Linked DNA regions of Drosophila melanogaster. Changing the gene in region 2 together with the main gene of any one other region gives a genetic interaction. Each region holds a gene or a part of one and is shown on either strand. Other genes may lie near its edges.

Evidence for each region.
Region 1: of if (region 2) and how, changing one enhances a phenotype caused by changing the other (phenotypic enhancement), as found in Drosophila melanogaster (one study listed by BioGRID).
Region 3: of if (region 2) and Sema1a, changing one enhances a phenotype caused by changing the other (phenotypic enhancement), as found in Drosophila melanogaster (one study listed by BioGRID).

Annotation. Positions count from the first base shown.
Region 1 is NT_033777.3:22,040,583-22,045,197, reverse strand, and holds the start of how (held out wings), read right to left. Parts: upstream 3,008-4,615; 5' UTR 2,843-3,007; intron 2,292-2,842; 5' UTR 2,135-2,291; coding exon 1,819-2,134; intron 1-1,818. UniProt on the Drosophila melanogaster protein: RNA-binding protein involved in muscle development and dosage compensation. Vital role in steroid regulation of muscle development and to control heart rate.
Region 2 is NC_004354.4:16,780,397-16,785,436, reverse strand, and holds the start of if (inflated), read left to right. Parts: upstream 1-2,002; 5' UTR 2,003-2,119; intron 2,120-2,891; exon of another isoform or gene 2,892-2,967; intron 2,968-4,362; exon of another isoform or gene 4,363-4,573; intron 4,574-5,040. Other genes in the region: mRpL22 (mitochondrial ribosomal protein L22), read right to left, coding at 474-691, 806-1,019, 1,093-1,362. UniProt on the Drosophila melanogaster protein: Alpha-PS2/beta-PS is a receptor for Tig, wb and Ten-m. Involved in the function and/or development of the olfactory system.
Region 3 is NT_033779.5:8,540,397-8,545,153, reverse strand, and holds the start of Sema1a (semaphorin 1a), read right to left. Parts: upstream 3,008-4,757; 5' UTR 2,942-3,007; intron 1,942-2,941; exon of another isoform or gene 1,439-1,941; intron 611-1,438; 5' UTR 1-610. Other genes in the region: CG17834 (uncharacterized protein), read right to left, coding at 3,918-4,696. UniProt on the Drosophila melanogaster protein: Involved in growth cone guidance through its role in axonal repulsion. Function in neurons is essential for adult survival, motor neuron survival, and is important for climbing behavior and activity.

The DNA.
Region 1 (4,615 bases), on a different chromosome or scaffold from region 2:
CAAAACAAGAATATAAGCTTTTGGGCGAGTTTTCCGACAGTGCGATACCTCCTGGTACCTGGTAATCAATAATCTGATTGGTCTAGATAAGACCACCGACTTCTTGGATATTTTCCAAATGAAGAGAGAAATCAAGATCTTGCATCTTATTATACAGACCATTTGCTATCACATTTCAAGTTTAATTGCAATAATTAAATGTAATTTAAATTGTAGTAGCAATTATAAACAAATTGATTAAGCAATATGGTAAAAAAAAACGTATATTAAAGTAATCCAAACATACGCTGTACATAATAAGTGTACTCTGGCCATCTAGCGGTACCTTGCAATCCGCAAATACCGCACCAGTATCTGAATCTGTGTATCTGTGCAACATAATTTTGTCATTACGAGGCGACACACACCCTCTTGGCCGGCCTGCATATGGGCAACAGATGTTGGGCAAATACAGAAACGAGAGCTCCGATATGCCAGATACAAGATACAAGATGCGACCAGGTAGTGCCACGCCCCTGCCCCTATACCGCCCCTATCCCGCCCCGAAAGTTGACTTTTGTTGGCTTGCCTTTAAGAGTTTTTGCTTCGTTGCCGTATATTTATTCATATTTTCTTTTTTTTTGATTTTTTTGGTTTTCGAGGCAAAGCGTGGGCAGTTGAGGTACATTTTTCCTCTTTCAGATAAGTTTGCTACACGTTCAGTGCACAGAGCAAAGCAGATCATTAAATGGATCCAATAATATTCCAGATTCGAAAATTTTAAAACTTTTAGCATATGTATAAATTCATACATGCTTGTGAATAAAATGATCTCTTATCACATAATACCACACCACATTAATGTTTCTATCTTTGTTGGGGGTTCCCCCCCTGGGGTTTCGCATCTCCTTCTGCGTCTCTCAAAATCCAAGCCTCCCTCCTTTTTGGTTTACGAATGGCCGAGTCAACAAAGAATTCATAATGAGAACAACAAAGGCTGCACTGGCAGTCAAGTGTGGAGCCAAGAATACAAAAGGAGAGAGCCCGGAGAGAGGTGTAAGTAGTGTGCGCTCCGCGAAGAGGCGCACAAAAAGGAAGTAACTAAAAATAACAAACATCTCGTTTCGGTTTGTAAGGTGGAATGAACTCAGAACCCGCGATGGAGAAGATGCCGAAAAGGAGACGCCGAGGAGACAAACCAGACACCCAGAGATCCATGCCCCAAAACTGATTGAACTACAGTGATCACTTGGTTAGAGGCACCCTAATCATTAACACGCCTGGCACACACGATTGAAAATGAAGTCACCACTTTAAAATAACATATATACTCATTTAAACTCTCCCATTTACCCAAATGTGTTCTAAATACCTACAGTCTCTGTAATACATGTTTACAATAAATCCCGCCAGATTCTCGGAATTAAAGTGCTTTGCAAATATTTTTTGAACAATTAAAAAAGATATAAACCAAACTGTAATGGCATCGATTTGTATACTACAATAGTTTAATGTTCTTTTCATGAATTTTTGGAATACAAACACAAAGTTCTAATACATTCTAGAGTTAAATATCTGAACATTATAACAAGAATATCCAAATTTCTTCTTTCACCACATTTCATCACATTTATTATATATAACAATTTCCTAATGGTACTGTAAAGTGTTTGATGAATAAAAGGATATTATCACAATAACAAACAGTAACTGGGTTTATCGTTTGATTCAGAAAAGGCTAGCTAGTGATCGTTATCCTTCCGCTGAGTCTTGGATCCGGGATTAGGATGATGCTGTGACTTGGAGGGATCTCACTCGGTTTGAGTTTTAGCGACTTACCTTCGTCCAGCAGGCGTTCGACGTGGGTGAAGACGTTGGGGAAGGCGGCCAGTTGCTTGCGGTCCTTGAGCAACTGGGCCAGATAGTCGGCGATGCTCTGTGTGCTCTGCTGCTGCTGCTGTGGGGTCAAGTGCTGCGGGGTCATGGGGACCACCACCTGCGGCGCCTGTTGCTGCTGCTGTGCCTGAGCCTGAGCCTGGGCTTGGGCTTGAGCCTGCTGCTGTTGCGCGACCGCAACAACTGCTGCGGCTGCCTGTTGCTGCAAGTGCTGCTGCAGTTGCTGTTGCACAACGGCTTTGCTCTCACAGACACTCATTTTGTTGCGTGCGTGTGTGATGTGTGGGTTTTTGGGAACTTTTTGTTTTGTTCTCGACGAGATTCTGGTTTTCAACTTTCAACTTTCCTTGGGTCTCTGCTTTCTTTACTTGGTGCACACTTCTTTTTTATTTGTTTTTGCTACTTTTAACACGTTACTGTGGGAGTTGGGAAATTCATTAAGTTTCGTACGCGAGCGATATTAAAAACGGAAAACGAAATGAAAACAACTCCGCCCAAAAGTATTTTTTCCGATCGGCAGCAACAACAATGCAGGGCGAGAGATACTGAGAGAGCGAGAGAGCGCAGCAAGTCGAAAGCGAAGGCAGAAAATTCCTCGGCGATCGCTCACTCACACACGGACAATAAACAGTAAAACTGTATATGCGACGGAGATGAATGAAAGCAGAATGTCAAAATAGCTGCCTCTCTCTCTCACCCTCGCTCATTTGGCTGCTGCAACAGCAAGTACAACAAAAAAGTATTTAAATAAATTTTATATTCAAATTTCTACGTTTTGAAGATACAAAGGTATAAATTCCTTTGCCTGGAGATGTACCGAGTGCACAAGGCCACTTAACCGATTTAAAAATGCAAGAAAACTCGCAGAAATATGCACAGTTGCTGATTATGTATTTGTTGTTGCTACTGGATGGCTTTGGATTTTATTCATTTCGTTTTGTTTGGAAAGTATTTTTTTTAAACACACTTTTCTTCTCTGAGGACTCCTATCCTTTGTTTATTTGATATATGTGTATATGGATTTTATTCGAGTCGGGGAATAGCGAACGGATCTCGGGACTTTACTGAACGATTCCTCCTAATTTTCCTACCACTGAACCGTGCGCAAAGAAAGAGAAAAAGAAACTGAATGCGAAGCGAAGAGCACAAAACGTTGTAAGTGTGAGATCATGCCAGTTCGATCGTGGGGTGGTGGTTTCAATGTGCTCTCGTTTCTCTGCTCTCTCGCCCAGTGACGTCACAAAGTGCGATTGCTTTTAATAAATATTTAAAAGCCAATATTTGGTTATATATTTGGGGGTATTTTTGATCTAAATTAACTAATTTCTAATATATCAGTGCTTTTAACTACTCGGTGACGTTTAGTCAATATTTGCATAACCATTTCCATAAAAAATACGCCAATACCCATCTTGTGACGTCAGTTTCTCTCTGACTTGGCTCTCTCGCACCCTACTGCCAGCATGCGAGATCACCCATCAGCGTTGCCACTCCGCACAAACAGAGTTGCGCAGCTGGTTAACATATTACACATATTTTAGCCAAAAGTGCGAGTATAAAAGTTAATAAATGGCCAAATAAGTTAATAGCAACTAAATACAAAGGTGGGCCATTAATATTCTTCCAAATGGAGGCTAGTTAATGCATTAATTGACTAACAACATTCAGCGTTGCCACCTGGTAGCTGGGTGGGCCACAATTTGGCGCGTTGGCGTTGATTTTGAATTAATTAAGACACTGCGCTGTGGAGGCATTAATTGCGCACGGAAATTGCTGGCAGATTAGAACCAAGCGGCATTTTGTTTCGCCGGACATATGCGGGGGCTGGCATCTGGGCCCCAAGTCCAAAACACCATGCAAATGAGCCCCCGAACTCGTACTGGCCAAATGTTGGTGTTAACTTGGTTAACTCTGCTGCAAAACGCGAAATGTATGTGGGAAAATTGGCATTCGCGAGCGTTTCGATGGACGCACCATATAAGCGACCCTAGGCCGGCGACAACTTTTACTTTCCATCGCGAAAGACATTTTTCGCTGGCTTCCGTGTGGTTGGCGAATTTCACAAAAATTCAACGCAGTATTAAGATATTGCGTACTAAAAATAATTAATTATCGATAAAGTGTATCAAAATAAAACAATCTTTTAAGTCTACAAAGCTACTTTTATTCTAAAATTTTACTCGTGTTCTGTTCACATTTAGGTCCTTCCACTATTACAACACTTAATGCCAGTGGATCGGTGAACTTATTGTGTGTTGCCTGTGTCTTCAACAATATTTTGATATACATATATGTATGAGGATCACTTCATTGCAACAGTCTTCCCCATCGGAACCCAAAATTTCTGGGGCGGCACATCTAGCCAACGGCAGGCATGGGGCAAGATCCGATTTTTGAAACCAGCATACACCAAAATGAGACGTGAAAGTTTAAAGTTGTGGCCAAAGTTGTGGATGGACATCGGATTGGTCGTTCCATTGGAAAGCAGACTCCCACCACCGGACCTCACCTGGCCAAGTTTCACAGTCCGGCCACAAGTCCCACCAAATTTGTGTGCACTTGGCTCAAACCGATCGGAATTGGCCTGTGTGTGTGGGCCGACATTAAATGCGTTGTACGGCCCCATTATACAGTTTTAGTGCCATTGAAAAATGTGTCAATGTGCGTGGCGATTGAGACATTGTATGCCTATGGATGGATATCCGATTTAAATCTCTGGGCCACAGACCAAAGCCCTTTC
Region 2 (5,040 bases):
CAAGAGGCTAACAATTGAATGACTACTTTAATTTAAACCACAACTTCTAAAAGAGAAACAACTAATTTATCAGTAAATACTTAGGATTTGCGTTCAGAAACATCCGAAATTGCATTAATTTGCATAAATTAGTAAGCTATTATTAGTAGTATTCGCCTGGAGCGAATTAGTTTATTTACTTTAAGCTTACAGTTGCAAACATTCCCTGACTTCAACTAGAGTTCCGAAACTCTCGGGCATCCAGAGAGAAAACCAATAATATCCATTGTGTATATACGCGCAAAACTAAATAAAATAAACTCCTCTAAGTAAAAATAAGAACAATATGAACCTCTGACATAGTTCTTTTGTCTGTTTCTATTTTATTAAACAATCTTCTAAAACCAAAAAAAATGCTTAATGCGCGTGGACGCGATGGCGATGGAGGACTGCAGGAGTGCGGATCGATTGCATACGAGTGCCAATTCAGGTGGCTACAGCGAGTTGATGATCTTCCGGCTTCGCATCTGCTCCATCCAGCTCTCGTACTGCTGCTCCGGCGTCTGCGGCTCCTGGTAGTAGTGCTGCGGCGGCTCGCCCTCCTCCAGGCGCACGAAGTAGTGGCAGTGCTTGTACTCCACTTTGCCGAAGCGACCGCGAGCATGCCGCCTCACGCCCTTGAAGACGCGTCCCTTGCCCACGAAGGATTCGGCTGGTAGGTAAGAACAGACAAAGATTCATCAATATAATGGTTAGTGATGAAGAAACTAATGATAATCCATCATTCATAGTGGATACATAGATTCCTTGTGCCCCTGCGGCTCACCTATCCACAGATTGCTCTTGTACTCCACGTTATGCCGCTCCACGGCTATTTGCTGGGCCTCCAGTATGGTCTCCTTCACATCGGTGGCCCCCTTTTTGAGCACAAAGTTCAGCTGCTTCAGCGCCTCGTCGACGGACATTCCGCGAACAAAGGCAGCGATGTACCACATCTTGTCCGGACTGTATTTGATGTTGCTGCGCATGTGGCAGACATACTGTGCAATGCAAGTGGATTAGAGGATTGCAGCTGGAGGGGTAACAGCAGTGCGTTCGAAATATGTATCTTACAGCATTTCTGGGCTCCTCGTCCGTTTCCTGCGGCGGATGCACGGTCTTGTTGTACTCCAGCCATTTGCGGGGTCCGTAGTTGTACTTGTTCCACTTGGCGCACAGCATTCCGGCGGAAGCGGCCGTGTGCAGGGATTTCGACTGGAGGGCAGGTGGTGAAACTGGTGATATGGCTGGTGATATTGAGCTGCTATCCGCCGATCGGAGGAGCGCTGCTCCCTGTGGCGCCTGCAGGCGCAGCTGGGACATTTGCCGGATCACCTTGTGCATCTTAGCTTGCTTGAGTTATCACAGCAAATCCAGGCAATTCAATCCGGAAGGGAAAACGCAGACTTTCCGTAAAAAAAATAATCGCGTAATCTGCCAGTGTGACCAATGGCAGCAGGTATGCCGTGGACCTAAAACGTACCGCACAAGCGGCTGATCTGCGAGCGGTATGGCAGCGTTTGATTAGGATATGTAAACATCTGGCAGCGCTATCGATATTGCTTGAAAATATATTTATTTATTAGATTTAAAAAAAAACTTGTAAAAGCAAGTTGGTACGACATAAAATTATTAACTTAAATAAGAGCATATCAGCAATTCACATTTAGAAGCCATTAAAATAATGCATTGAAACGGAAACATTTATCTCCACACAAATTAGCAATTAATACACATTTTCATAAAAATATGAAACCTAACAATTAAAGTACCCATTTGGAATTGACCATCTTTAAAGTATATTAAAATTGAAAGACATAAATATTCCTTATGCACTATGTAACTATTCTAGTTCAATATTATACACTTAAGTTGATCGTTCTCAACAGCGCGTCGCGCTCACTTTTGAATCGCCCAACGATCTGGCATCCCTGCGTGAAATTTGAAATTGTATCTGAGGAATTGCTAGCCATCTGAGTGCTGCATTCGGTGGCGTGAAGCGAAAGTTGCCTGGTGTAAAGTGCGGAGCGCTCGCGTTCGAAACGGAAATTCAACGGGCGCCAGTTTTGATTCAAATTCGCGTATGCAAATGCAATCGATGGTAATTGAACGGCGAAACATTTATATTTGCGTGTTATCTGATACATATATCCAGCCATCGAAAATGTTTACCGGAGTTTCGAGGGCTCATTGTTTGTTTTCATTAATTTGCATTGCCAGTTTGCTCTGCCTCGGTTAGCCGGCGAATTTGCTCGTATAGTCGAATTGCACTACATTCCGAGATCTCGTGATTGCGAATCTAAACCATCTGGATAAATGGGAAAACCCATTTTCACTGCAGCGTTCTCATTTTCGAGGCAGAATTAATTTGCACCAACGCACATGCGAAAATGTTGCATATCGTGCAATTAAAACTTATAGATTTCAAAGCTCATTTAGTTAAAACTTTGAAAAAAGTGTATTTACCTTTTTCGAATTTTAAAAAATATATACATTTTTTTAATTTCCGAATGGATATAAGCTTGTGTATATGAACATAAAAATCATAAATTTATATGTGATTCCATTTTCGAAATAAACGTTCTTCCATATGTACATATGGCCCAACAAAATGACACATCAAATGGTCGAAACTTTTGCTAACGGAAATTACAGACTTCCCACACGAAACTCACCTTTGAAATTTTTTTCGAGTGGGATGCTCGCTACATACATGTGTAGATAATGAAAAAATAAAACTTTTGCTATCGTTTTGGTTGTTTGAGAGCTTTGCGTTTGTTCCGAGATCGCTCTCCCGAGTCTAAAAACTAGAGACTACATTGGTTGGGTATTGAGTAGGCGATCTGGCACGAGCAGTTCACCCATGTATCTCTGGCGGTGCTAAGATGTATCTTACAGATACTGTGCGCCATTAGTCGTCGTTTAAATCTTGCTGCGTTCGCTGCCGAGGTAGAGCAAACACCAAATGTCAAATAGCAAATCAAAATATAAATAATACAAACAATACCAATTGAAAGTGAACTTTACTTATTAACAGCACAACACGCGACGCGCCAACAAATTGCTTGAAACATTTTTTTCCAGTGTTGCAGCACCAGTGAAAAGTGCACCGACCAAATAAATTCCCAAAATATACGCATATTAAACAAAATCTGACAAAAAAACACAAACACAAAAGCCAAAATCAATAAACTAATGTCGCAGCTGTGTTTGCACCTCCGACATTTTGTGCAGTGTAGAATTCGATCTGTATATGCACGTCTATATATACATGTGCATATATACCTAGATATAGGCGGACTCTGCTGGGCGTAGCACACAGCTTCCAACTTTTTAGATTTATTTTTAGACAATGATCGTTTTTTCCACTATTTTGATGTGTTTTTTTTTCGTATTCATATCTTAACCATCTGGGCAAGATTGTATGGCAATTCCAGTAGTGACTGTTGCCAAATATATTCAATTGATGTGCAAAAAAAAGAAGAGAAGTGTTCAAAAAGGGTCTCAAACCTTTTACTTCAAAACTGAAGGTTATTTCGTTAATTAGTAGTTACAAGTTCAAATGATGATCAAATAAATGGGAAACGAAGAAATATTTTTAGAAACTTTCGCCAGCTTTTGCATTTAAATGCAAATTGCACGCTTAGGAAGTTATTTATGCAAATTTAGCAACTTTCAGTTAACAATTGTGTTCGCCTGGCAACGCATTTCAATTTTTAGCCTGCAATTTGTGGGCCACGAAATTAACTGTCTTATTTATATTGACACATTCGCCAGTCATTTTGAATGCCAGCCGCATGATCAATTTGTTGAATGTTAAATGGTGTACACCATATGGCGCGTTCTACAGCGAATTTTTAGGTTGTTTTTTTTTCCTCTCTCTCGCTTAATTATAATTCATTTTCTTGTCTATGAATGGCAGCCGCCCATCAATGAACTCGAATCGCCCACACTCGGCGGAAAAACTGGGCATAAAAAGTGGAAAATGTGTCAAATGTCACCTGCACAAAACCGCCTACAACTTGTGGGATTCTTTTCCGCCACAGAAACCTACGTACACTGCAAAAAATATCCAGCTCAAATACTTACTTAAGGTCTTGATTTCTTCAAGTACTTGCAACTGAAATAATATTTTGAATCGTTCGATACCAATTGCATTTTCAACTTTTCCTTGAAAGTTATCTTCAATTTAAACTAAAGTTGTGTGGGAAGGGCTGGCTGGCTGGCTTTCAATCTGGCTAAAAGTCTAATGGCTTTTTGGCCGTTATTTTGTTATTTTGGCCAACCTGTTTGACGGCCCATTACGTCACCATCACCATCATCGCGATGCTGAGCGTAGAACGCGCCAAAATCTAAGCATGCAGCAAAAAGAAAAAAATCCAAAAGCAAACATGAAACCGTCAAAAATGTCTAAAAACAACAAATCAGATTTTAGAATTAGACAACAATATATGAACGACCCGACTGATACCCTAGCATTTTGCTGCAGTGAAAAGGAGATGATTGAAATCATTTAAACAAAAAAAAAATAAAATAAAATAAATAATAAAAAGAAGTGAGAACCTAAAGTGATTTGTTAAAAAATTAACAAGAAACCGTTTTAATGAAAACAAAAGCTACTAAATATAAAAATATAATATAAACAACCTTACATGCAAAGAAATATAATTAAAACCTAATAATATAATAATAATCGATAAAAATAAGTTCAAATTATCGGATGACATGCATTTTATTGATTTTTTGGCATTGACAGTTTAATAGTAACGAATAATTTGAAAAGAAACTGAACCGTGTAATAAAGATACTCGTAATTGGCCCGACATCCGACTTCAGACATTAGATATCCGACCAGCCCTAACCACCCCGCCCACTCCGCGATTCCCAAGGCCAACAGATCTTGATTATGATGTTAAGCGAGAGAGAGAGAGAGAGCGGGCGAGTGGGTGCGAATGAGAGAGGAAGATCGCAGACGTTGAGATAGAGATATGTGGAGATACTAAAAAACAGAGACACTCAGCA
Region 3 (4,757 bases), on a different chromosome or scaffold from region 2:
TTACGCAATTGATTAGTCCCAGCGAGTCCTGTTTATCGTTTGTTTGCTGACATTGATCGATTGATTGGGCTGTTGTTGTTGTTGTGGTTGTTCTGATAGCTCGATTATCGATTCGCACACACAGACTGGTGAATTGGAATTTTTTGATTCGCACCGATCGCTTGTCGTACTTAAACAAATTATAGACACTTACACGAGACAACACCGAAGAACACAAATTTGTTATATTTACTTTATACGCAGATTAATGCCAGCGGACGACGATGAATAATAGGATAACAGCAAGAACAACAACAACGATGCACGACGACGACGACGACAAATATTGTACATATGTACAGAGGATACAAGGACTCACGCACACAGATGCAGACGCAGATGCACGGGCGCGATAACGGTTATATCGGATATATGAATAGACGAAACGACGAACGGGGGGGCGGGGCGGTGCGGTGCAGGAGTCGAATTAACGCGACGGCGATTATCCCTTAACGGTACCGGTTCTTCATGCGATAAGTAGGCTACGGATGCGATTTCTGAGCATATTTTCTTGGTTTATTCTTTTTCTTTATTCAAATTTGCCTTATTCACTTTGTTTCTGGCTTAAATACTGTGGAAATGGGAGAAGGAAAACTGGATTAGATTTCAGTTTCCCAATCAAAAGTTATGGCCGCAGGAAGAGCTTATCTTGAACACAAATATCTGGCATGTAGGGCTTTTTGAATTAAAATTAATATTTGCTACGATATGAAACACGATTTGATGAAGAAATGATCAAGAAATATCAATTGAAACACTTTGTAATTCAACTTTTTTCCTGATAAATTTCTTATTATGACAACAGTACTTTAGTTTTCTTTTTTTGGTTGGCAACGCGCTGCGGAGAGATGCGAATGGGGGGCACAAGGCAGAGTCGAAAAACATTATGCGGGGGGTGCGTGAGTTTGAGGAAGAAGAATAAGAGAGTGCTGCTCTCTCCCACTCTTACTCTCACTCTCTCTGAGTCAATTTGAAACGCCGCGAGAATGAAATGCAGCGAAACGAATGGTGCACAAAACGTGGCCAGGAAAATAGAGAAATAAACAAAATATAAAAAGGATAATCCCAAAGAGAGAGGGAGGGTGGGTTAGCGAGAGCCAGGACCGTTTCATTCCCAAAACGTACCCAAAACAGAATACAAAAGCCTGGCTCTCCTTTCAACTCTCTCGCCCTCTTGCTCACACCCGCAGGATGGCGAAAAATCAATGAAAAATATGTGGAAAAATTGCCGAAATTGTATATTTTTGTGGATTCGCTCTGCTGCGGCCTAAACTTTGGGTGGAAACACAGTTTTCGTTATTTTCTTTTTCTAATGTGCCATAATATTCCAATTTTGTTGTGATTGCCAATTGCAATTGGGCAATTTTCGGCTTTATTATTGTTGCACACAAACACTCACACTAGCTCTCGATTGCACATGTTTCTAAATTGAGCAATTACCAATTTATTAATTAATGTACACAATGGACAAATCACTTTTCACAATTGCGCGACACAAAGGTAGCGGTGCTGGAATTTGTTTATCAACGCGAAAGAAACATTTATATCCTTGTCGAATATCCGGAAATTAACAAGAAAATATCTTGAAAAATAATATTTTACAAGAAACCAAATTTCGTTTTATGCAGCGTTTCTACCGGCGATTTATCCAATATTTTTGTTTATTTATTAATGCTGTTTTCAGATATTTTCCAACCGGAGCAACAACGCGCTGCAGCAGCGCGGGCGTTAAATTTTCGAATGAAAAGGGAACTCGCACGAAAGAGAGTTCAGTCTCAAATGGCACTTTCTCTGGCGCTAGGGCATTTTCCGCGCGTTAGTGCGTTTTCCAGCGCTGACTGCGAAGTCGCGAACGGTCACTTTTTCGGTTCTCTTTTTCTCTCTCCTCTCTTCTCTTAACAGCTGGTCAACAAACAATATGCAAATTAAAAAAAAAAACAATAAGGATAATTATTTTATTGACCTAAATATTAAACTAAGAGCGTGCTACTAAAAATTTATATAAAAATTGCAGGCCATAACACCATGTTATTTATATTACCGAATTTTATTGGAAAAAATGTTGTCTATGGCAAATTGAAAACATTAAAAAATATTAATAAATTTTTATCTAAAATTACTCAAACGATAAAATGCTTGAGCTCTTTTATTTGTTCACGCAAAATTGGAAAACACATACACGGTTAAGTTTCTTATTTCATAAACATATTAGTTTCTTGTGTCCTTTAGAAGGAACACGCTTAAAGAGAAATTTTAAAATGAGAGGCTCTCTTCAATAAGCCCTCTCCTCTCACTATTTCCTTTTCGTTGACTGAAACTCCCCCTCAATATAATCGGCCGCTTTAAACTCTTATTCTCCCTCGCGATACTTAAAATAATTAATTTAGTTATTCAAAAAAAATCAAGAATATTTTGAAAATTATGGAAAATACATAGTTTCAATTCAAATAGAAAATAGAAATAATGTTTGAAATTTCCGTCGTTCCGCTCTCAGTGGGCGCGGGTGAGACTGCGCCTGTCAAGGGCGTTTGTGTACGAATTTTGAATATCAACAATCTGAGGGCACGTGTAGAAAAAAATTTTTAAAAATTATATATTAGGAGAACACTTCTATAATCAGAAACCATATTTAGTCACCAAAAATAGTTCTTCTCGAATAATAAATACGTTTGGTACCTGGTACCTAATTGAAACCTGGCAGCTCTACACTCTTTTCCTATTAGGTTCTCTCTTAAAACGCGCTCTCTGTTTTGCCGGCCGTTTATATGTATTGCTTTATTTATAATTTACAATTTAACCAATTCACTTGGACACGCTTCTTATTCATATTTGTTTAATTCACAACTTAATAAATTATTAGGGCACTCTACGAAATATATTGTTTATGTTTTTATATGAGCACCTTGCAAATAAAACAACTAGAATGTTTTGTTGTACAAACAACACACACGCCAATACGAATGAAAACTGGTCGACTAGCGTTGCCATTGGGAATTTCTACAGCCAGTGCTACCATATTGGGTGGTAAGCTAAATGGGTCCGGCTTACAGTTACCCCTTAACAAAACTTATATACCCGTTGAAATGTGTTTCATTATATATCACTTCCAGGATGACCTAATTAAATATACATGTTTGACGTTTTTTTAAGCTATATGGTGCAATTTTTTATTTTAATTTGTTGGTCTGAAACATGTATTGCATTACTTAAATTTTGAAATTAAAAAATTAAAAAATTAAATTAATAAATTAAAACAATCAACAAAAAGTAATTTTTACATCTCTCCCCGACGGGGAATTGAACCCCGGTCTCCCGCGTGACAGGCGGGGATACTAACCACTATACTATCGAGGATGTTGTCTACCCACTGTCAAACAACCGTCTCGAGCTTGCACACTGTCTTCAGAGTACAAATGGGGAACAGATGAAATTGAAACAAGCATTCACACTCCGCAAACGGAAAACCCGAGTTTGACTCACTTTGTATAACATCCTCGATAGTATAGTGGTTAGTATCCCCGCCTGTCACGCGGGAGACCGGGGTTCAATTCCCCGTCGGGGAGATAAGTGCATTTTTTTTCAAGCTCGCATTTATTTCTTTTAAAATGGTACAAATAGATATCGTTTAGATTTTTATAAAGATTTATTAAGTAGGATCTTTAATCGCTGTTTTTTGTGGTAAAATACAATTTATTTTGTAATATCAATCATTAATTCAAAATGAAGTACATCTGAATACTGAGGAATTGTTTGGACAAGGTCATTGCTTAGAAGATAATACAGAAAACGCATAAGCAGGTACTAAAGGCTAATAAATTTAAAACATTAAAAACATGGACAAAGTGATTAACAAATAAATATGTATATCTGCAGTGCGACTAGTCAACCTGCTTGCCCTCGTCGCGATTTCGTTTGAAGGACACGGAATGAATAAGTAAGGGCGGTAGATTGCCACGCAGCATCTGGAGTCGTTTGCTCTTCTCCTTCTCTGGCCGTCGCAGTTCGTCCTTGGAGGACCCGGGCGAGGCAGAGGACGAGGCCATCGATGGCGACATGGAGGCCAGTGAACTGGCGCCGGGCAGCACCTCAGAGCTCTGGGTCAATAGCATGGCAGATCGACGGAAGTAGCGCGGCATGGAGTAATCATCCTGTGTGGCCCGAGCAGCATTCGCCGTTTGAATGGAATAGAGACTCTGCGATACCCGGTACTTCTCAATAGTGGGCGTGTCCTCGTAGTTCTTAGGCAGATTACTGAACGATATCGATGGCACCTCCGGCGTCATGCTGATCTGACTGCTTCCGGTCATCGTACCGCTAATGGAGAATATATCCGTCTCACTGGCCGACGAACGGACATTCATGTGCGGAACGCTCTTGGCGGATCGCAGGATCCGTTTGGGCGTGGTCGTCAGTCCACTGGGGTTGGCCAGCAGATGAGGATGCCGGTCGATGAGGCGAGGTCGCAGCACCACCTCCTCCATGATCTCCTCCTCCTCATCGGCCTTGTCGTCCTCCTTCTCCTCCTCGGCAATGGCCTCGAACTTTTTGGGAGTAAGTGTCGTTTGGCTACCCGACGGCGAGCATTCGGCCGAACTGGGAGCCAGGGTGAAGGTGATTCGCTTCTCGGTCGATCCTGTTCTCGCATCAGTGGCATCTCCTGCAAAAAGAAGATATACTCCGTTTAAAAAGTGTTCTGCATTTGCAAGTAACTAAACCCA